6 linked regions of the Xenopus tropicalis genome follow. The protein of the gene in region 3 interacts with the protein of the main gene of each other region in a pairwise test. Links are inferred from orthologs where the notes say so. Each region holds a gene or a part of one and is shown on either strand. Other genes may lie near its edges. The genes, in order: mapkbp1, trim36, glrx3, map3k3, ca9 and moxd1.

Region 1 (3,500 bases), on a different chromosome or scaffold from region 3:
CTGTCAAGTTAGAGCCAGTGTCATTCAGGGGTGTCAGTGCTTCCCCTGTCCCAGGGCTGCCATTGCCTTCTTTCAAGAAATCAAGCTCTCGTTTCACCATACCAAAGGTTTCAGTCAACAGACCTGCTATCTTGCAGCGCTCCAGGTTAGTTGATGGATCAGCTGTGGTTACCTGGGAGACAGAATACAATTAGATAAGCAAAGGCTAAAGGCACATTAACCATATTTAATTATTTTTTCTAAAGGAAACATTAAAAGTAAGACGCAGAATGATATTTCCACTGCAAAATTTTCTCTTGCTTGTATAACTTTAATTTATCTTGCCTTCAGAAGGCATTTTGTTTTTATAATCAAAACCCTTATCTCCTGATTTAGGGCTCTGGTACACGGGGAGAACATGTAAGTCACCGGCGGGATGGCAGACGCGGCGGGGCAATTTCCGGAAATCGCCGAAAAAGACTCGCAAGTCTGCCATCCCGCCGGCGACTTACATGTTCGCCGGTGGGATGGCAGGGGTAGGCAACTCGGGGAGATTAGTCGCCCGCGAACAGGGAGTTAATCGCGGGCGACTAATCTCCCCCGTGTGCCAGAGCCCTTAGGCTGGATGCCCAAACAACCTGAAGGGAAATGAAGAGGAGTCACAGAGCTATGAATCCCAGACTTCCTTTCAGCCAACCAACCAAAATCTTCCACCAGAATCCACAAGCATCACAGGATTATACATCCATTTTTTTCAAATGTGATTTTTCTGCTTATAATGGAGTCTATAAGAGATGGCCTTTTCATAATTTGAAACTTTCTGGATAATGTATTTCCAGATAAGGATCCCCATACCTGCATTACCAAAAAAAGAGATTTTGAGTTTGATTGATGCTTTAGGGTTTGCCGTTTGGGAGTTTATGCATGTACAGGTTCTATATCATATGTATCATACTAAAATAGTATTTCTAAAGCAAACAGCTTTTACCAGTGCAGGGCAATAGTACATAATATATTCATTATTTTGATACACTTTAACTTGTTACATAGTTACATAGTTACATATAGTTACATAGGGTTGAAAAAAGACCATTGTCCATCAAGTTCAACCCATCCGAGTAAACCCAGCACACAACCTATACTAACCAATCTATACACTCACATACATAAACTATATATATACAATCAGTAATACTAACTGTAGATATTAGTATCACAATAGCCTTGGATATTCTGCTTGTTCAAAAACTCATCCAGGCCCCTCTATTAACAGAGTCTGCCCTTACCACATCACTAGGAAGGGCATTCCACAGCCTCACTGCCCTCACCGTGAAAAACCACCTACGCTGCTTCAAATGGAAGCTCTGTTCCTCTAATCTATAGGGGTGACCTCTGGTGCGTTGATTGTTTTTATGGGAAAAAAGAACATCCCCTAACTGCCTATAATCCCCTCTAATGTACTTGTACAGAGTAATCATGTCCCCTCGCAAGCGCCTCTTTTCCAGAGAAAACAACCCCAACCTCGACAGTCTAACCTCATAGCTTAAATCTTCCATCCCCTTTACCAGTTTAGTTGCACGTCTCTGCACTCTCTCCAGCTCATTAATATCCTTCTTAAGGACTGGAGCCCAAAACTGCACTGCATACTCAAGGTGAGGCCTTACCAGGGACCTATAAAGCGGCAAAAATATGTCCTCATCCCTTGAGTCAATGCCCTTTTTTATACAAGACCGCACTTTATTTGCTGTAGTAGCCACAGAATGACACTGCCTGGAATTAGACAACTTGTGATCTACAAAAACCCCTAGATCCTTCTCCATTAAGGATGCCCCCAACACACTACCATTCAGTAGATAGTTTGCGTTTATATTATTCCTACCAAAGTGCATAACTTTGCACTTGTCAACATTGAACCTCATTTTCCAGTTTGCTGCCCAGTTTTCCAATTTTGTCAAATCGCTCTGCAAAGCGGCAGCATCCTGCATGGAACTTATAGTTTTGCACAATTTAGTGTCATCAGCAAAAATAGAAACAGTACTCTCTATGCCCACCTCCAGGTCATTAATAAACAAGTTAAAAAGCAAAGGACCAAGGACTGACCCCTGCGGTACTCCACTAACCACACTGGCCCAATTAGAAAATGTTCCATTTACCACCACTCTTTGTACTCTATCCTTCAGCCAGTTCTCTATCCAATTACAAATATTATGTTCTAGGCCAATATTCCTCAATTTGATCATTAACCTTCTGTGAGGTACTGTATCAAACGCTTTAGCAAAATCTAAGTAGATGACATCAACTGCCATTCCAGCATCAAGGTTCCTGCTCACCTCCTCATAAAAGGCAACTAAATTAGTCTGGCAAGATCTGTTACGCATAAAACCATGCTGGCACAAACTAATAGTATTGTGAACTGCAATGTATTCAACTATCCTATCCCTTATTACCCCTTCCAGAAGCTTTCCTACTACTGATGTCAGACTAACAGGCCTATAGTTTTCAGGCTGAGAACGAGATCCCTTTTTAAATAACGGCACCACATTAGCAATCCGCCAGTCTCTCGGCACCATGCCAAACCTCAACGAATCCTGAAAAATTATGTGAAGAGGCTTGGCAATCACAGCACTCAGCTCATTTAATACCCTGGGATGAATCCCATCCGGTCCTGGACCTTTGTTTACCTTTACATGTTCAAGTCTCTTTTGAATTTCCTCCTGAGTGACCCATGCGCCAGTAGCTAAATTACTAGCACTGGGTATATTAAAAGGGAAGCCTTCATTATCTGGCTCCTCAGATGTATAGACAGATGAAAAATAAGAGTTCAAAATTTCAGCTTTTTCCCCGTTCTCATCAACCAACGTACCTCCCCGTGATAATAAAGATCCCACCCCTTCTTGCTTCATTTTTTTACTATTCACATAATTAAAAAATAATTTTGGATTCTTTTTACTCCTAGCTGCAATATCCCTTTCCATCTCTATTTTAGCTTGCCTGATAGCTTTTTTGCATGCTTTATTTGCTTCCTTGTACCTGATGAAAGTTTCCGCTGTCCCAGCTAACTTGAATGCTTTAAAAGCACGTTTTTTATTACCAACCTCGACCTTAACTCTTTTATTCAGCCAACTCTATTATTGTTGGTGTTACTGTTCTTTTAAGCAATAGGTTCCTGTATGGAAATGTGCATTAATGTATCATATAACAGGGCACAGAAGGTTGAGTACTCACAGATCGGTACAAGCTCAGAGCCTTGCGGAGACTGTCCTGCAGCTCCGAAGCAATTAGCTCACACTGCTCAAAACTCACAGACGATGCTGAAATAAAGAAGCATCATAACCATTAACCTTAGAGAGAGACCACACACTCACATGTAGGAAACAAACTTTTATACAACAGGCATGAAAGTACATGTATTTAGAGAGACTTTTGTTCTCTGATGCTAAGAACTGTTGATAGCTGAAGACAAACTGACCAGTGGTCTGGTACACACAAAAATGTAAGAAAAATGTAATACTGTATGGAAT
Region 2 (3,500 bases), on a different chromosome or scaffold from region 3:
AATCCATGCAGCTTTTGGTAGATTCCTGAGCCGGAGGTTTGCAATAGTCACACATGATGGCAGTTGCTGCTCGGGCTGCTTGTCTGTAGCGTTCCACAATAGCTTCCAAAGTAACGTTGCGAAAAAGGCCATTTATGCCACGTTCTCCAAGATCTACATCGTGCAAACATCCAGGGCATGATATGGTAGTGATCTTAGGAGTCAAAGAATTGCGCTTGGAGCCTATGAAATGTTTAGATAAAATTTAGTTTATGCCCAATATGAACATAACAACACAAGAAGCGATAAGCACATAAGCAAAATGGGATAAAATAGAAAAACAAGAGAAGTGAGATCATCTGTTGACCAAAAGAATAACTCCAGCAAAAGACTGAGCTCACCCAACTCTAGACACTAAGAGGAAAAACCATTGCCTTTGCTGGAGAAGACAATTTATGTTTCTACAGAAAATTCAGTGGCTCATAACACTGTGGGATACCTGAAACAACTGTGTGGACCCAGAATGCCACAATGACCCACTACTAAAATTATTTTTCCCCAAAGATGCAGATTTTGACTGATAACAGGTAGTCAGGAGGGCTTGACTGCTGTGACAGAAACGCTCTGTTTGTGCCAACAAGTAACCACTTCAAACCTGTTTTTATATATAATATATATATATATATATATATATATATATATATACACACAAAAATACACTAGGTAACATCAATACCTCTCTTCCTATTTACTAAACCAATTCAAAGAAAGTCAGACAATACCGTTACAGTTTAGGTAAAGCAGTGATGAACAATCTATTTTGGGGCCTAACAAGTCTAACAAAAGCAGAGGTCACCAAGGGGAAGCAGCGCATAGAAAATTAAACAAAATATCTATACCAAAGATGCCTTCTCAAAGAGTCACACAAAAACCACACAATTCACTGCTCCTCATACCTTCTCCTGCCTTTCAACAAAACATGATTTTTGGATCTTCACACAGCAGTAATCTTGTATTACATCCATGTTCTGACCTACTTGTACCACGGTGATATTCACAACACATGAAGGGCCACAAATATGGGATTGAGAACCAATGGTCTGCAGCTTGCATGTCCTTAATAGAAAGAGAATCAAATACAGGTATGGGATCCGCTATCCAAAAAGCTCCAAATTATAGGAAGGCTCCATTTTAATAAAAAAAATTCACATTTTTAAAAACAATTTTCCTTTCCTCTGTGTTAATAAAAGAGTACCTTGTACTTTATCCCAACTAAGTTCAATGATTTTATTTAGTAGACTTAAGTTATAGAGATCCAAATTATGAAAAGACCCCTTTTATCCAGAAAACCCTAGGTTCCAAGCATTCTGAATGACAGGTCCCATACCTGTACATGGATTTTAAGACTTAAAAACAAGTTGCAAATGTCGTAAAGATCACTTACAGTTTGGTTTAAAGATCTCCATTTGTAACACTGATCTTTCCAGCAAGCAGACACCCCTCAGTCCGTTTGCCACTGCCAAAATAAACTGCTCTCATACTGGCATGTTCAGTACTGAAAAGGCCATTAAACTAGAGGTTTTCGATTGGGTTATGAAAAGGGATGGTAACAATAACACTGGTTATGGAAAGATGGAGTATAAAAATGGCAACAAATACAATGATATAGTTGGCCAATGTGGATATTTTAGACTGAATTTGCAGCCTTTGCTCTAAATTTTGCGCTGAGGGACTTAAGCTAGCCATACACACACCGATAATATCGTACGAAACTTTGCTTGTACGATATTCGGTGCGTATATGGCGAGTCGGCCGATATCGCAGGAGTCTGCTGATATCGGTCGTCTCGCCGATCGGCCAGGTTAAAAGAGGCGCCTGAGCAAAATCTGCCTTCAGGGCTGAATCGGCAGAAAGAGGTAGAAATCCTATTGTGTCTACCTCCTTATCTGCCCTTTTAGCCCTGACCGGTTAGTGGCTGATTAAACGATCGCAAATCGCCACGTGTGGGGCCACCTTTACAGGTACAAAGTGTCAGATGTCTGGATTTTCATCCCTGAATTCAATTAACACTTGAAAAGACACATATTCCAGTGCATATCTCAGGCTTGGACACCCTTTCTCAAGTAATAACACACAGATCTCCTTTAAAGGAAAGTTAATCTCAAGAAAATTAACCAATGTCAGTTTTCTAACCTAAGCACTTTTGGAATTTACAATTGTAATAATAATGTAATGGTTTAAAATAATTGCGTTACTGCAAATGCCTGTAAATACCAGGCTGTTGGCTCAACAGGCCTAAAGCTAAAAGAAGACCCATAGTATATGCACTGGATTCAAATATCTCAGAAACCACTAAAAACAAAAAAAAAATTAATGTAAATGACAAAAGTTCTTAAAAGGCATCAATTTAATATTTGGGGATTGGATTCCTTTTAATACCCAAAATCATATTGAAACATTCCATCCTTTAGAGGGTTACCACTCAAGAGCCAGTTGATAGAGGCTAAACCAATGAGAACTTATCTTTGAAGTCTATAGAAAGTCTTTGTGGCCTTAGATCTAGCCCAAAGGGTCTACCACAGGAAACGATTAGAAATACATATTCAATAAACAAACAAACATAGTAACCAGTCCCAAAGCATGTAGTACAGCATGTGTTGCTAATCAAGCCAGGTATCATTCAGTATAAGGGTGAAGACACACAGAGCTACTAGTAGCAGCTACTTGTCACGGCTACAAAAATAGACAATGCTGATCATTTACAGATAATTGTTTCTATGTGTGTTTAAGCAGAGGCAATTCTCAGTATTGTCTATGGCTGGGTAATTTCTGGCGTTTAGTAGCCATGACAAGTAGCTGCTACTAAGTAGCTCTGTCGGTCTTCAACCTAAAGGCAGTCGCACACAGGAAGATTAGCCACCCACAACTTGTTTTTAAGTACCTTGCACTGTGTCACTTGCCTGTAGCAAACAAAATTGCATGCATAAACCAAACAGGGTGAAGCCACGGCACCAATTATGTTACATTAGCTTTGCAAACTTTCATTCTGTTGGAAGACAACTCTACATACACTGGAAGTTGATGAAGCATGCTGATGATTCACATATATAATGGCTGGTTTGAGATATGGACAGTAACAAATGGTGTGATTCAGCAGGTACGGTATCCCTTCATTTTGCAGCGGTTTCACTAATAATTGGATATCTTTGATCTCTACCTGAGAATTATGGACCAACATTTACAACAAATGGATAGTCACTAAAAACAAATTCTATATAACATGAAGAGAATTGTTCATACTACTAACTGCATGTTGTGACCTCCCTGTAATTTCCCTGTGTATTACTTTTTTCTAGAAAAAAGAAGTACTGCAACGTGCCCACACATGCACCGATGTCCACTTAATTCTGCTCATGTATGGCGGACTTAATGCCTAAAGAAGAAGTATCATAGTTAACCTCAAGTGCAATTTCTATTTTCTTCTTACACACATGCCTAGCAGAATTTCAGGGACTACAGCC
Region 3 (4,004 bases):
AGCTGCCTTGGTGCCCCCTCTACCAAGGAGTCCCTGACTACTGTACCCCATGATGGTGGCTCTAAATGTACCCAGCAGCTTCTATTGTTACAAGGACTTTAATTTACAACTTAAGTTGACAAATTAATCCTCTCATATGTAGACTACTAAAATCACTGTATAGGGTTCTAGGCTCTTAGCAATTTTACATAAACAGCATTACAGATCTTATTCTTCATTCTATTGTTTGTGTCCTGTATTCTGTGTTGATCTACAGAGAATGGGGGCTGGCAAGTCTAGGCTCAAGTATGTAGCTATAGGTTGCACAATTTATTGGTTCTATAAGAGCCCAGCAAGGCTGTATATTCTGACACAGAAATGTTACGCTTGATTTATGTTATTTATATTTTCTGTGTATATATTATTTATTATCTGGCCACACTGCCCCTAAGGGTAATTTCAGTGATGTACATTAGTACATATTCCACATAACCATGCACTTCATGATATAATTTGTAAGATCCGTTTTTATGTGCAGGATATTATGATAATTACAATGATGATTTGTTGGTGGTTTTTCTGTTATGTCAGTAGCATGTGTGGCCGAAAAGCCGAACACCACAACATTCAGCTGGTGTAATTTCTGTTTGTGTGAGCAAAGGCATGTACCTTTCTTATTGCCCCCACAGGGCATTGGTAAATTCTTTCTGCCTATTAAGCTAGAGATGAAACAGTGTTTTATACCATAACCTTTTGCACAATTAATTAAACTGTGTGTAATGTAAAAATGCACGCAAAAAATCACCAAAATTTATGTTCTTTGGATACTGTTCAGTTTGGGGGATTGGGCAGGTTTAGCGTATTTCTTTTGCTGATGTATCATGCCATCAGTGTATGGTGCATCGGCACAAAAGTAAAGAGCAGCCACAGTTCTTCTTTACTTCCTGCTGTTCCAATCCTTCAGGCCCTTTGCAAAAACGAATGGAACGACAGAAAGTTAAAATACCATGTGAGGCGACTCTATTCATTCAGCCTGCGGACCAACTGGTCGGAGAGTAACTACGCAGCCCATGTATGCCTGCCTTAACTTTGCTGTAAAAATATCCACGCAGTCAGCCTCCCATCACTTACACTGGCTACACACAAGCAGAAACCGCCTGCAGAGCTGCTCACTCCAGACTAGACATCTAGTAGCGTATTGTTTTTGGGGCCAAAAGGACAGTCCGACAGTGATATCTATATAAACCACCACCCAGTTATAATCAGGCCCATCCCCTGCAATGACAGTTTAGATTAAGGATGTATCAAATCCACATTTTGTTTTCTGTCACCTCAGTTGCCCACATTTCATTAAGCGTGGCTGCTTTGTTTGCTCTTCGGCAAGTGACTTTAGTTTTCTCTTACTGCTGCCTCCATCCGTATAGGATAATAACCCACTAGCCATTCTAATGACTGCTGCCCACCCAGGGAAAAACTGCAACAACTCAAATGCCGGGTAGCCTCCTTGCACTGTTGTGTTTGTATGGGTAGAGCTAGCCATACATGTTCCAATAATATCATACGAAACCTTGACGAGTCGACCGATACGCAAAAGTCTGCAGAAATTGGTTGATCGGCCAGGTTAAAAGATTAAGATCTGGTGCCATTGAAGGCGGCCGAGCAAAAACTAAGTTCAGGGCTGAATCGGCAGAAGGAGGTAGAATTTCTATTGTTTCTACATCCATATCGGACGAGTCAGCCCTGAATGTCCGTGGAGGGTGGGAACAATCTTGGAATGATTGGAATTCCTAGGGGTATGGCCACCTTTACACTTACACAACTCTATAACTAGACACTGGGGCAATACTTATCAAGAGCCAGACATCAAGTAGAAAGGCAGTTGGTGGGATCAAGGACTGAATTTTATCACTGGCCCCTTATGTTACAGACAGACCCAAACCCTAGCCACATATGAGCTGCTGATAGGGCCATTCCAGAGTGTGTGTGTGTGTGTGTGAGTATATACACACACACACATATATATATATATATATATATATATATATACATACACACACACACCCACACCTGGTGTCTCAACCCTTTCTCCTTGTAGATTGTAAGCTCTTTTGGGCAGGGCTCTCTTCACCTCTTGTATCGGTTATTGATTGCTTTATATGTTACTCTGTATGTCCAATGTATGAAACCCACTTATTGTACAGCACTGCGGGATATGTTGGCGCTTTATAAATAAATGTTAATAATAATATATATACACACACACATGCCCCTCATGACATAATTACTGAATAGCATTACCCTGATAATAGAGCATCACCAGTATTCAGCCAATAGGACCAACACGATTGGTGCCAAGCTGGCAAAGTGGCAAAGCAGGGCCAAGCTGTGACCTCTGGATATTACTCCAATACACATTACTGAGACTCCTGGGAGCTGTAGTACAGCAAAAAGGATCAATGACATTAGACAACAGTTGAAAGTAAGGACAAATACCATAATGTCCAAAAGTTTAACTACAACTCTCAGTTTCTCCTGCCCTTGTACTTGAACAACAGACAGGGGGCCGCCAGCGAGGCCTACGCCTTGACCAGCCCTATCCGCTGCCAGAGAGAGGAGCCCTCCAGCCTGTAGCCCTCTCCCAATATGAGAGGGGCCTGACACTACCCCCATGCCCCTAGCCCAGTGACAGCCCCCATACTGAGTGCATATGCCCCCACACTGAGCCCTGGCGCCTTCTCACTTAGTCACGTACTTTGCGCTGTTCTGTATCAGCTGCTCAAACTGGCCCGCAGAGCCGGCCTCCAACACCGCCGCCATGCTGCCCGCACCCAGGGAAAGCAACCGAGCACCGAGCCAGCGATGGAACCTTACACGCTAAAGCGGAGGGGACAGACGTGAGTAGCAGAGTGTAGAACGCGGATCGGCTGAACTTGAGCCATAGCGCCTCTGTCCGCCTTTCCGGGTTCAACTTTTAAAGACAAGTTCACGGTGTTTGTGGGTCCCGCGTCGTTATGTTAGCCCTGCGGCTTTATTCAGTCCCCGCTCCTTCCCTTTCTCACATAGCTTAGGGCAAATGTTTCATCTACATGAAAAGCATTGCTCTAACAGGACATGATTTAAAGAATATCAATAAAAATAAGTCTTCCTCTAAAATAAAGTAAATAATGGCCTCAAGGGCAGGGGGTACAAATCTCCATTGTAGCGGGCGACTAATCTCCCCGCAATTCGACCCCACCAGCTAGAATGTAAATTGCCGGCGGGATGGCATACGCGTCGCTGTGATGTCCGGCAGTTGCCTGAAGTTTCCTCTCAAGGCGACTTTGGGCAACTGCGGGACATCGCAGTGACGTGTATGCCATCCCGCCGGCAATTTACATTCTAACCGGTGGGGTGGTGTTGCGAGGAGATTAGTCGCCCGCTACACTGATGATTTGTCGCTGGCCGACTAATCTCCCCGTGTACCCCTGCCCTAAAGCTGGGTGTCTGAGGCAGCAAATAGGTGTTCCACCAACTATTAGGGTGAAGACACAGAGCTACTAGTAGCAGCTACTTGTCACAGCTACAAAAATAGACAATGCTGATCATTTACCAATAATTGTCTGTGTGTTTTAGTATTGTCTATGGCAGGGGATTTTGTGGTGTTTAGTAGGCGTGACAGGTAGCTGCCACTAAGTAGCTCCGTGCGTATTTACCCTTAAGGGTAATGGCAGAGTGGGCAAGTTACTAAGTGCTGGAATGGTTGCCCTGTCATTCCTTTGGTAATTGCCTGATGGGTCGGAAGATTATCCTTCAAGATTTCTGACTAAAGGTGGCCGTACACTGTAACATCTGCTCGACTGGCTAAGTTGCCAAGCAAGCAAATCTTTAATCCGATATACCTTCCTTGGGTGGGCAATATCATGCTAATGCAATTGTTTGGCTCTAGGGCCAAGCGATCACATTACAATGAAGGGAATACAAAAAGTTGGCGCATGAACCGCATCACTGAGCCGATGGAGTCTGCAATCCGACAGAAAAATAAAACC
Region 4 (3,963 bases), on a different chromosome or scaffold from region 3:
CCTTGTCCTTTATAAGTATGGACCAGAATGCAAAAAGTTAAGACTACTGCTTTAAACTGCAATTACATTTACAAATAACATTAAAAGCACTTACAATTTTTGCTATAAATGTATATTTGAAAGTTGCTTAGAATTACATTTTTAGAGTGGAGAGGTGGAGAGCAGCAGATTTTATACCAAGCACTGCTTGTGTTTTTTCCAAATCCCTGTTATTATTATGACATATTTATAAAACACCAACATATTCCACAGTGATGTACAATAAATGGGCATATACATTGAGGTGAAGAGGGCTCTGTCCATTAGAGCTTACAATCTAAAAGGAAAAGGAGTTGAGACACTGGAAACTATGACAACAACCTCACACCAAAACAGTCTCACTCTGCCACTCAGCATCCAATCAGATATCTGCTTTCATAATTTTATCTGCAAGAAAACAATCACACAATTGCTGACTGGCTGCTAAGAGTTACTAGACTGGTGGAATTTGCACCCAACTGGGCAAATGGTAAGTGTGGCTAGAAGGGCTTCTGTATTTCATATTTGTGGCAAATCTCTTTGAAGAGCAAAGGCTAGGAAATTACAATAGCAGGGCTGCGTGTAAAAAAAAAAGGAGCAGAACTCTTATTTCCTAATAGAAATGCAGCTTTTCTACAGTGCAAACACCCAAAGAACTATTTTCTAAACGGGGTGCCAGAATTTGCGGGGCACATTGGGAAGCATTCCGTGGGGTATAGACAGTAGTCTGTCTGCAGCAGACCAATCATGACTAACTAGAAACCCAGAAGACCAAGACTGAGAATGGAAATTATTAGATAAACTTTATGACTGATTGCCATGGATTACAGAGACAGTGAGTGAGTGAGAGACAGAGACAGTGAGTGAGTGAGAGACAGTGAGTGAGAGAGTGAGAGACAGACAGTGAGTGAGTGAGAGACAGAGACAGTGAGTGAGTGAGAGACAGTGAGTGAGTGAGAGACAGAGACAGTGAGTGAGAGAGTGAGAGACAGACAGTGAGTGAGAGAGTGAGAGACAGACAGTGAGTGAGAGAGTGAGAGACAGTGAGTGAGAGAGTGAGAGACAGACAGTGAGTGAGAGAGTGAGAGACAGACAGTGAGTGAGAGAGTGAGAGACAGACAGTGAGTGAGAGAGTGAGAGACAGACAGTGAGTGAGAGACAGACAGACAGTGAGTGAGTGAGACAGACAGTGAGTGAGACAGACAGTGAGTGAGTGAGTGAGTGAGAGACAGACAGACCGTGAGTGAGTGAGACAGACAGTGAGTGAGGCAGTGAGAGCAGGAAACAGTGAAAGATATGCCAGAGACAAGAGACATACAGTGAGTAAGTTACAGAAAGACACAGTGAGTGACAGCAGGAGCTAATAACAGAAAATTGTATTTAAATGACAAGAGAGAGACACAGCGAAGGAGTGCATGCGAGTTAGAGAGACAGTTAGTGACAGCAGGAGGCACAGAACATTGTATTAAAGTGACAAAAGAGAGACACAGTGAGTGAGTGCATGTGAGTTAGAAAGACAGTGAGTAAATGACAATGCATGTGAGACAGGGACAGAGACAGCAGGAGACTGTGACAGAAGAGAGCATATAAGTGATGAGAGAGACAGGGAGTGACAGTGTGTGCTAAATAAGTTACAGTGAGTGGCAATAAGAGACAGTGACAGAAGAGTGTATGCAAGTTACAGAGAAACACAGAAAGCCAGTGAGTGACAGCAAGAGACAGAAAAGTGACAAGAGAGAGACACAGGGAGTGAGTGAGAGAGAGGCAGTGAATGACAGCAGGACACAGAATATGACGGACAGTGTATGTAAGTGACAAGAGAGAGACACAGTGAGTGAGAGATAGAAACTGAGTGACAGAGTGACAGTGACAGAGAGACAGAGAGACAGTGACAGAGTGACAGTGACAGAGAGACAGTGATAGAGTGACAGTGACAGAGAGACAGTGACAGAGAGACAGTGACAGAGTGACAGTGACAGAGAGACAGAGTGCCAGAGAGACAGTGATAGAGTGACAGTGACAGAGTGACAGTGACAGAGAGACAGTGACAGAGAGACAGTGACAGAGAGACAGTGACAGAGAGACAGAGTGCCAGAGAGACAGAGTGCCAGAGAGACAGTGATAGAGAGACAGTGATAGAGAGACAGTGATAGAGAGACAGTGATAGAGAGACAGTGATAGAGAGACAGTGATAGAGTGCCAGAGAGACAGTGATAGAGAGACAGAGAGACAGTGATAGAGAGACAGAGAGACAGTGATAGAGAGACAGAGAGACAGTGATAGAGTGCCAGAGAGACAGTGATAGAGTGCCAGAGAGACAGTGATAGAGTGACAGTGACAGAGTGACAGTGACAGAGAGACAGAGTGCCAGAGAGACAGAGTGCCAGAGAGACAGAGTGCCAGAGAGACAGTGATAGAGAGACAGTGATAGAGAGACAGTGATAGAGAGACAGTGATAGAGAGACAGTGATAGAGTGCCAGAGAGACAGTGATAGAGAGACAGAGATAGAGAGACAGAGAGACAGTGATAGAGTGCCAGAGAGACAGTGATAATGAGACAGAGAGACAGTGATAGAGTGCCAGAGAGTGCAAGTGACCCCCCAGAGGAATGTCAGTGGCCGAGCAGACAAGCGGGGGAGAGTGCCCGTACAAGAGCTTGCGTTACGGCCATAGCCAGTGACTAGGCCCCAGTACTTACCCATGGCGGAGCAGGGGGCACTATTCCGGGCAGCCCTGTCAGTTTCCCGGGCCCTGAGGCCTCCCCCGATTCTTAGGTAAAGTTGTATGTAGCGCCTCCTCTGCTACTGAACCCACCGCCTCCTCTGGGTTATTCTCTCCCCGGGTCTGCCCCGCGGCCCGTCAGCGACTCCGGTCACCTCATATCCGGCTTGGCCAGGGCTCCGGGGGCTCAGGCCTTACTCTGGGCCAGTTCCTAGCCCGCTGCAGGACCTACACACGTCACCGGTGACATCACTGCACCATGTGACCGCCTAGCTAGCGGAGAGGAAGAGTAGGTCATTGTGCAGGAAGTGAGAGAGTCTGTAGAGCAGCAGGTATTAGCGGCCCAGAGAGACTCAATGTAATGGTTGCGAGTACCTGTCTGTGGTGCTGGGCTTACCAGTGGGAGACATGAGAGTCATGGGCTAGAGTTGTGTGGCCTCTGGGCTGCCTAGGCTCTAGCCATTACTAGTTGACAACTCTTGCAGCAGGGGACAACAGCAGGGGGCTGATTGTAGGGGTATTGGGGCATAGTTATTCTTCTGAAGGGAGCTTGTATTCTTGGTACTGAGTTACTGAGTGGGGGTAAGCCTGCTGCAGGGGTCTGTTTATAGGGGAAGAGTAATCTTGCTGCAGGGGGCTGATTGTAGGGCTATTGGGGCATAGTTATTCTTCTGAAGGGAGCTTGTATTCTTGGTACTGAGTTACTGAGTGGGGGTAAGCCTGCTGCAGGGGTCTGTTTATAGGGGAAGAATAATCTTGCTGCAGGGGGCTGATTGTAGGGCTATTGGGGCATAGTTATTCTTCTGAAGGGAGCTTGTATTCTTGGTACTGAGTGGGGGTAAGCCTGCTGCAGGGGTCTGTTTATAGGGGAAGAGTAATCTTGCTGCAGGGGGCTGATTGTAGGGGTATTGGGGCATAGTTATTCTTCTGCAGGGAGCTTGTATTCTTGGTACTGGGTTACTGAGTGGGGGTAAGCCTGCTGCAGGGGTCTGTTTATAGGGGAAGAGTAATCTTGCTGCAGGGGGCTGATTGTAGAGGTATTGGGGCATAGTTATTCTTCTGCAGGGAGCTTGTATTCTTGGCACTGAGTTACTGAGTGGGGGTAAGCCTGCTGCAGGGGTCTGTTTATAGGGGGAGAGTAATCTTGCTGCAGAAGGCTGATTGTAGGGGTATTGGGGCATAGTTATTCTTCTGAAGGGAGCTTGTATTCTTGGTACTGAGTTA
Region 5 (3,500 bases), on a different chromosome or scaffold from region 3:
ATTGGGGGCTGTCAGAGAGACAAAGCCATTACTGGTGTTCTACAGAACTGAGATCCATTCACAGATTGTGCTCCTGAGAATAAAGTTCTACCTGAACCCGGAGATCTCATGAAAGTTCTACTCACAGCATGAGTTCTAGAGGGGTTCCTTAGGCTGTACACTACATTGTATGGTGAGTGGGGTTCCATAGGCTGTACACTACATTGTATGGTGAGTGGGGTTCCTTAGGCTGTACCCTACATTGAATGGTGAGTGGGGTTCCTTAGGCTGTACCCTACATTGTATGGTGAGTGGGGTTCCTTAGGCTGTACCCTACATTGTATGGTGAGTGGGGTTCCTTAGGCTGTACCCTACATTGTATGGTGAGTGGGGTTCCTAAGGCTGTACCCTACATTGTATGGTGAGTGGGGTTCCTTACCCTGTACCCTACATTGCCAGGTGGGTTTGGGACCCTGAAGGCTCTGCATTACCTGCCCCAGGAAGTCTCCGCCCTGACACTTTTGGACTGAAGCTGCTCAGAACAAGTCGCCCATTTAGACTTTGAGGAGCACGGAAGTTGTTCTGCAGAATGTGATCGTGGTCGGCATGGATAGTGTCCTCCAATAGGTCCATCTGAGAGAGAAGGGGGACAGTCAGTGAGTGCTGGGGGAGGGGCCAAAGATGCAGTTATGGATCATGTAGAGGCTGAAGACTTGGGTAAGTCAGACGGGAGCCCTCCCGCACTCGCCCCGTTAGACTGTGGAACAGAACCAGTGGGCCAAGAGCCAGACTGGAGGCAATAGCTTGATCCAGATAAATGTGTGTTCTTTCAGCTGTGGGGCCACTAACTGCCCCTTAGTGCATTGTGGGATGTGTGACACTCACCTGCTCTGGGGACAAGAGGATGGTCTGGTTGAAGAGAGTCCAGTTGACAGTCTGGTAGCAGGGGGGGGTAGTGAGGGAGCCGTCATAGTGGTAATATCTGTCCAGCCTCTGGGGCAATAACCCCCGAATATCAAACCCTGGGATTTCTATGCTTTCACCTGGAGAGAGAGAGTCATGTGAATGTTCTGCCCACAACGAGCAGCTCCTCCTCCTCACCTGGTCTGACTCCTCCCACAGGGCCCCCCAGCCTCAACTCTATTCACTCCCTGCACTCACCCCAAGTTTCCACTCACACCCCGCACTCACCCCAGGCTCCACTCACTCCCCTCACTCACTCCTGCAGTCACACTCACTTCGAGCATTCATTCCCTCCACTCACTCCCTGCACTCACCCCAAGTTTCCACTCACTCCCTGCACTCACCCCAGGCTCCACTCACTCCTTGCACTCACCCCAGGCTCCACTCACTCCCTGCACTCACCCCAGGCTCCACTCACTCCCTGCACTCACCCCAGGCTCCACTCACTCCCTGCACTCACCCCAAGGCTCCACTCACTTCCTGCACTCACCCCAGGCTCCACTCACTCCCCGCACTCACCCCAGGCTCCACTCACTCCCCTCACTCCCTCCTGCAGTCACACTCACTTCCTGCATTCATTCCCTCCACTCACACCCCGCACTCACCCCAGCCTCCACTCACTCCCTGCACTCACCCCCAGCCTCCACTCACTCCCCGCACTCACCCCCAGCCTCCACTCACTCTCCGCACTCACTTCCTGCAGTCACTGCCCCAGAAACTGTTTTTTTATTAATATTTTTGTGAATTTGTTTTCCTGACATCTTTAACTCTTTATAGGGTTATGTATTTAAAGGCACTAAGTCTGCCCAGGTGCAGTAACCCATAGCAACCAATCAGCTGGTAGAATTTACTGCTTACCTGCTTAAAAGCAAATATCTTATTGGTTACTATAAGTTACTTCAAATGGGCCTTTTATTACTTATGGGGATAAAAGGGGTCTCCCTGTGCCCCCCACAACTCCCCCTGTGGCTCCGTCTTTAACTCTCTGTTGGGGTCTCCCTGTGCCCCCCTTATATTCATTCATTTTGCGCTCTCGGGGTTCCTGATTGGGCACTTACCCTCCTCAGTTATGTTCTGCAGGTAGGGAAGCAGGTTCTGAAAGGCAGGATTTTCCTCCTCCCCCTCCTGTATGGAGAACCAATCAGATAAATTCTATTCCTGCACCAAATAACCATACAGAATCCCAACACCCACAGCTCGACCAATGGGGTTAAAGTAATCTATGTACCTTATTCCTGGAATGGCAACAGCTTGCCACTCCTTGCCCTGTCCTAAATGGGGGGGGGGTTGTGGTTGGGATGGGGGGTTCTGGTGAGGATGGGGGGTAGTGGTTGGGGAGTTCTGGTGAGGATGGGGGGGGTAGTGGTTGGGATGGGGGGTTGTGGTGAGGATGGGGGGTAGTGGTTGGGATGGGGGGTTGTGGTGAGGATGGGGGGTAGTGGTTGGGATGGGGGGTTGTGGTGAGGATGGGGGGTAGTGGTTGGGATGGGGGGTTCTGGTGAGGATGGGGGGTAGTGGTTGGGATGGGCGGGTAGTGGTTGGGATGGGGGGTTCTGGTGAGGATGGGGGGTAGTGGTTGGGATGGGCGGGTAGTGGTTGGGATGGGGGGTTCTGGTGAGGATGGGGGGTAGTGGTTGGGAGGTAGTGGTTGGGATGGGGGGTAGTGGTTAGGATGGGGGGTAGTGGTTGGGATGGGGGGTTCTGGTGAGGATGGGGGGTAGTGGTTGGGATGGGGGTTCTGGTGAGGATGGGGGGTAGTGGTTGGGATGGGGGGTTCTGGTGAGGATGGGGGGTAGTGGTTGGGATGGGGGGTTCTGGTAAGGATGGGGGGTAGTGGCTGGGATGGGGGGTTCTGGTGAGGATGGGGGGTAGTGGTTGGGATGGGGGGTAGTGGTTGGGATGGGGGGTAGTGGTTGGGATGGGGGGTTCTGGTAAGGATGGGGGGTAGTGGTTGGGATGGGGAGTTCTGGTGAGGATGAGGGTAGTGGTTGGGATGGGGGGTTCTGGTAAGGATGGGGGGTAGTGGTTGGGATGGGGGATTCTGGTAAGGATGGGGGGTAGTGGTTGGGATGGGGGGTTCTGGTAAAGATGGGGGTAGTGGTTGGGATGGGGGGTTCTGGTGAGGATGGGGGGTAGTGGTTGGGATGGGGGGTTGTGGTGAGGATGGGGGGTAGTGGTTGGGATGGGGGGTTCTGGTGAGGATGGGGGGTAGTGGCTGGGATGGGCGGGTAGTGGTTGGGATGGGGGGTTCTGGTTGGGAGGTAGTGGTTGGGATGGGGGGTAGTGGTTAGGATGGGGGGTAGTGGTTGGGATGGGGGGTTCTGGTGAGGATGGGGGGTAGTGGTTGGGATGGGGGGTTCTGGTGAGGATGGGGGGTAGTGGTTGGGATGGGGGGTTCTGGTGAGGATGGGGGGTAGTGGTTGGGATGGGGGGTTCTGGTAAGGATGGGGGGTAGTGGCTGGGATGGGGGGTTCTGGTGAGGATGGGGGGTAGTGGTTGGGATGGGGGGTAGTGGTTGGGATGGGGGGTAGTGGTTGGGATGGGGGGTTCTGGTAAGG
Region 6 (4,208 bases), on a different chromosome or scaffold from region 3:
TCACTTTGCGCAGAAAGCTGTGCTGTCATGTTTAGTATTCTTCAACATAATCTTTGACCATTTTCCAGTGTTATTTTCTTGTTCTGAGCCAACTGGCTGAATTGTGTCAGTTAGCCATAAGATCAATAATAAGCAAATGAAGCCAGAAAAGAAGCAAGGGGCATGGCTACTAAAACTTCTTTTTCATTATTTAGCAGTGGGCAGACTTTGATGGCAAATCTCTGGGGGGAAAGGGGGGGGGTTATCTTGCAGAGACTTGATTGTAAAAATTAGATTTTTCATGAAACAGGCTCTTTATTTACAGGCAGTTGTCCAAAGGGGATTTTTTTAGGTCATGGAACAACAAATACTTTTATAGATTTTAGTATGGGGTATGTATGAAGTAATATAATGTTTACATTTGCACATTTAGGAATTTTGCACCTGAAACCATTCCTCTGCCAATATTCACTAATGTCTGCCATTACCATTACCAATGCTATGGGTGAAGGTATTACTGACCTGCCAAGAGACATCTCATAATATACTGTGAGGTCTTAGCATAAATGAAGGGGTGGGCAGCTAAAATATACACCATGATTTTGCTGCTGCCATCAAATCAGTGAGAATACTATACTGTCTGGTTATACTCTTTGCTGATATCTACAAAACGATTTCAATTCCCATGATGCAGTGTGAAGAAAGTCAGCTATTAGGGCTAGAAAAGCAGCTTTTACGGGGGCTGTTTTATCAAGTAACATGATGTGCTTCCAGTTTATTGTGTTTTGGAACTGGTAGCAAGAGAAGAGAGTTGAACCAACATTTCTGTAATAGTATACTTGGCATCAGAACTAGCTGCAGCACATTACAACAGCTCTGTTTTCTTTTTGTTTTTGGCTCTGTTAAAAAACAAAAAACAAGCAAAGACAAACAAGCAAAGACAAACAAGCAGAGACTATGGGATATTGATATCCAATGAAATTGAACTAAAAAAATTTAATTTTAAGCTTTATGAAATATTGTAATAAATATGTTTATACTTGTAGTGTAGTTGCCAATAGCAACCAACCAGGCCTTTGCTTTCATTCTCTAAATTGTTGTAGACTGTGCAAAATTAGTTTTTGTGCTTGTGCAATTCACCACCAGTGTTTGTAAATAAGGGGCACATTTACTAACCCACGAACGGGTCGAAATGAGTCAGATTGCGTTTTTTTCGTAATGATCGGTATTTTGCGATTTTTTCGTATTTTTTGCGATTTTTTCGGCGTCTTTACGAATTTTTCTTTACCAATACGATTTTTGCGTAAAAATGCGAGTTTTTCGTAGCCATTACGAAAGTTGCGTAAAATCTGGCGATTTTTTGTAGCGTTAAAACTTGCGCAAAAAGTTGCGTTTTTTTCGTAGCGTTAAAACTTACGCGAAACTTCGCACCTTTTAAGTTTTAACGCTACGAAAAAGGCGCAACTTTTCGCGTAAGTTTTAACACTACGGAAAAATCGGGCGATTTTACGCAACTTTCGTAATGGCTACGAAAAACTCGCGTTTTTACGCAAAAATCGTATTGGTAACGAAAAATTCGTAAAGACGCCGAAAAAATCGCAAAAAATACGAAAAAGTCGCAAAATGTTCGTTTTCAAGTTGGAACTTTTCCAATTCGGGTCGGATTCGTGGGTTAGTAAATCAGCCCCTAAGTGTTCTAATGCCACAGGTGTCCCAAAATCTTCCTCGATTGCAGTATTAAACACAGAATAAGAGATATTTTTGCTTCTTAAGTAAAATGTATAAATACAGTATTAACATTAGATGTCCCCTGTTCCTCTGATGTCACCCCCCCATCTTTCCTGTCCCTTGCCACTGTTGTGCTTCCAAGTAATCTGGGTTTAATTCACAAACAGTGTCAGCATGTACTGTGAATGTCTTCTAGTGGGAAAGCGCTGCATGAGTCAATCACTGAAGATCTGTATTCAGCCAGCCTTTCATCACACACAGCTGGGAGTCTATTGCACATTAGTATTTCTAATATTAATTATAATATATTTTAATAGACATAAAAGCACATACAATGTGGTACAAAGCAGCAAGCAGTCAACGTTTTCCATCTAGCAGCATAAATAAAACAAGCTGCAATATATTTTTCACTAATAATATCTACTAAGCATGAAGAATTTTAACATTTCTTTTATACTCCCACACAGTAACTCAGTGCTCAGTTAAGCTCAGTGCTTAAGAGAATAGAAAAACATGAAAACATATTGAACCAAAATACACTGAAATGCCTTACTTCTGTACTGATCCCAAAGCCAATAAACCAAATATTGCATCTACAGCAGTTAAGGATAAGCACTGGGGTATATATGCTGCAGTGAGATTTCTGGTCTTTGTGCAAAGTCCCATAGGAGGTAATTACTGGGTGCAGATAAAGATCCCTACCTGCAAGTAGGGCTTGCCTTCTTCCACTCCTCCAATAACAATGTCTGAAGAAGCCATGTCCCCATTGGGAGAGAACCCAAAACCAACATAGCCTAACGTCTCCACCTGTAGCAGGAAGGTGATTGACTTGCCATGGTGCCTCCAGTGCAACATGTATTTTCCCTGCCCATCCAGAACTGCACTATGGCTGTAAGGTTGTAGGTCCACATTCAGGGCTGTGGCAAAGAATGGAAATAGAAAGAGAAATGCAAACATCCTTATCCAATGTTTCCTCTGTAATGGACAGATAACAGATGTGGGATATCTTTCCACTCAGCCCTCTCCCTCCCACACACTCCTAGACACTCGCCACCCCTAGCTTATAGTAGGAACTTTGAAGATCAGAGGAGGGGGAGATGCAGCGTGCACAGTGTGGCTGTGGGGTTTATATGAGACCATAAGAAATAGACATGACTCGAGCCCTGAGCCAGCTCCACAACAGTGCCCTGAGGCAGTAAGTGCATAGAACATGCTGCTACAAGTGGCTATTCTTTGTTTTCAGAGATGTTCCCTTTGTAATCCAGTAAGCTAGATTTAAAGAGCTCAGATCTCTGGAGCAGCACAAACAATATGCTTTTTCTGCTCTATTTTTTTACAGCTTTGTCAAAAACCCATTGTGATCTAAGTAAGAAGAAGTCAGCCAATATACGACAAATTATATTTATTTATTTATTTGTTTGTTAGATTAAAGTCAGCTCTTTTCAAAACATTGTGCTTTTTCAAATGTATTTTATGTATATTCTGAATATATATGTTATGCTGTGATAACCTCCAGCAACAGTATTAAATAGAACTTTTTTATATTACAGACTAAGTATAACCCAGATACTTTATGGATTATATGGTAACAACGCCTGGTCTGACATTTGCCTTAATAGTAGTGCCTGTTCCTACAGTGTATTGCTGAACTGATTTTTTCTGCAGTGTACCTTCCACTGCATACTGCATTAAAATATTTGACTGTTTGGATACAGACTACTGTAAACCAAAAGCTGCATGAAATGTAGTTCTATTTACACACCTTTCTCATGAAATGCACAGTGTATGATTTTGATTTCACAGTAGATTTTGGTAGGATCCAGTGGCAGGTGATGACAGATATGGAAATTGTAAGAAATAGCTCTCTTCATTGGGGATAAGAAGGGCTAGCCATTTCACACAGAAGAGAGGGGGGTCGATCAATGCAAATTCCCCTGTCCCCTGTTTTATAAGTCAATAAGTATCTATACAAGTGCATGTATTTTAAAAACCAGGGGTTTTACTTATGATCATAAAATTCACAAGCCACCTTACCATGTCCTGTAGAATAACTCTGCTAAAGTACAGAAAAACACAAAGCAGGAGCACTTCAATGCTAAGTAAAAATATAGAATTACAATGGAAGTCCAAATGACTTGGTCAGTTTATCTACAAACATACAAATGAGAGGGGGCTGATAAATGCACATTCCCCGGTCCCCTGATTATCTATGCAAGTACATCTATTTACAAAAACATGGGTTTTTAGCTAAGTTATGATAAGAAAATTGACAAGCCACCATACTACATCAAGGTAAATTCCCTTCTACAAAGCTCCCCTAAAAATTGTGCAGTTTATCTCTGACAATACCACTGACATATATACTCTTTCTATAGTAAATAACTTTCTAAAGCAAAGAAATCCAAAACATTATAAAGAATATTTAGGGATGCAAAGTCTGAGCCAAGAATGTGCAGAACAGAAGCAGAAATTCCCTCACTTAAGAAGACCCATGTGACAAT

Evidence for each region.
Region 1: the proteins of glrx3 (region 3) and mapkbp1 interact in binary tests that used the Homo sapiens proteins (3 or more experiments, as listed by UniProt). The two-hybrid records come from large-scale screens. The link is inferred for Xenopus tropicalis from reciprocal best matches to the Homo sapiens genes GLRX3 and MAPKBP1.
Region 2: the proteins of glrx3 (region 3) and trim36 interact in binary tests that used the Homo sapiens proteins (3 or more experiments, as listed by UniProt). The two-hybrid records come from large-scale screens. The link is inferred for Xenopus tropicalis from reciprocal best matches to the Homo sapiens genes GLRX3 and TRIM36.
Region 4: the proteins of glrx3 (region 3) and map3k3 interact in a two-hybrid assay, tested with the Homo sapiens proteins (2 studies listed by BioGRID and IntAct). The link is inferred for Xenopus tropicalis from reciprocal best matches to the Homo sapiens genes GLRX3 and MAP3K3.
Region 5: the proteins of glrx3 (region 3) and ca9 interact in binary tests that used the Homo sapiens proteins (3 or more experiments, as listed by UniProt). The two-hybrid records come from large-scale screens. The link is inferred for Xenopus tropicalis from reciprocal best matches to the Homo sapiens genes GLRX3 and CA9.
Region 6: the proteins of glrx3 (region 3) and moxd1 interact in binary tests that used the Homo sapiens proteins (3 or more experiments, as listed by UniProt). The link is inferred for Xenopus tropicalis from reciprocal best matches to the Homo sapiens genes GLRX3 and MOXD1.

What each region holds. Positions count from the first base shown.
Region 1 is NC_030684.2:105,027,932-105,031,431, forward strand, and holds part of mapkbp1 (mitogen-activated protein kinase-binding protein 1), read right to left. Parts: intron 3,291-3,500; coding exon 3,205-3,290; intron 173-3,204; coding exon 1-172. UniProt on the Homo sapiens protein: Negative regulator of NOD2 function. It down-regulates NOD2-induced processes such as activation of NF-kappa-B signaling, IL8 secretion and antibacterial response. Involved in JNK signaling pathway.
Region 2 is NC_030677.2:172,217,482-172,220,981, reverse strand, and holds part of trim36 (E3 ubiquitin-protein ligase TRIM36), read right to left. Parts: intron 223-3,500; coding exon 1-222. UniProt on the Homo sapiens protein: E3 ubiquitin-protein ligase which mediates ubiquitination and subsequent proteasomal degradation of target proteins. Involved in chromosome segregation and cell cycle regulation. May play a role in the acrosome reaction and fertilization.
Region 3 is NC_030683.2:22,217,709-22,221,712, forward strand, and holds the start of glrx3 (glutaredoxin-3), read right to left. Parts: upstream 2,801-4,004; 5' UTR 2,797-2,800; coding exon 2,732-2,796; intron 1-2,731. UniProt on the Homo sapiens protein: Together with BOLA2, acts as a cytosolic iron-sulfur (Fe-S) cluster assembly factor that facilitates [2Fe-2S] cluster insertion into a subset of cytosolic proteins.
Region 4 is NC_030686.2:17,080,605-17,084,567, forward strand, and holds the start of map3k3 (mitogen-activated protein kinase kinase kinase 3), read right to left. Parts: upstream 2,801-3,963; 5' UTR 2,721-2,800; coding exon 2,717-2,720; intron 1-2,716. UniProt on the Homo sapiens protein: Component of a protein kinase signal transduction cascade. Mediates activation of the NF-kappa-B, AP1 and DDIT3 transcriptional regulators.
Region 5 is NC_030677.2:217,092,750-217,096,249, forward strand, and holds part of ca9 (carbonic anhydrase 9), read right to left. Parts: intron 2,068-3,500; coding exon 2,001-2,067; intron 1,023-2,000; coding exon 865-1,022; intron 613-864; coding exon 471-612; intron 9-470; coding exon 1-8. UniProt on the Homo sapiens protein: Catalyzes the interconversion between carbon dioxide and water and the dissociated ions of carbonic acid (i.e. bicarbonate and hydrogen ions).
Region 6 is NC_030681.2:70,268,503-70,272,710, forward strand, and holds the start of moxd1 (DBH-like monooxygenase protein 1), read right to left. Parts: upstream 2,801-4,208; 5' UTR 2,665-2,800; coding exon 2,410-2,664; intron 1-2,409.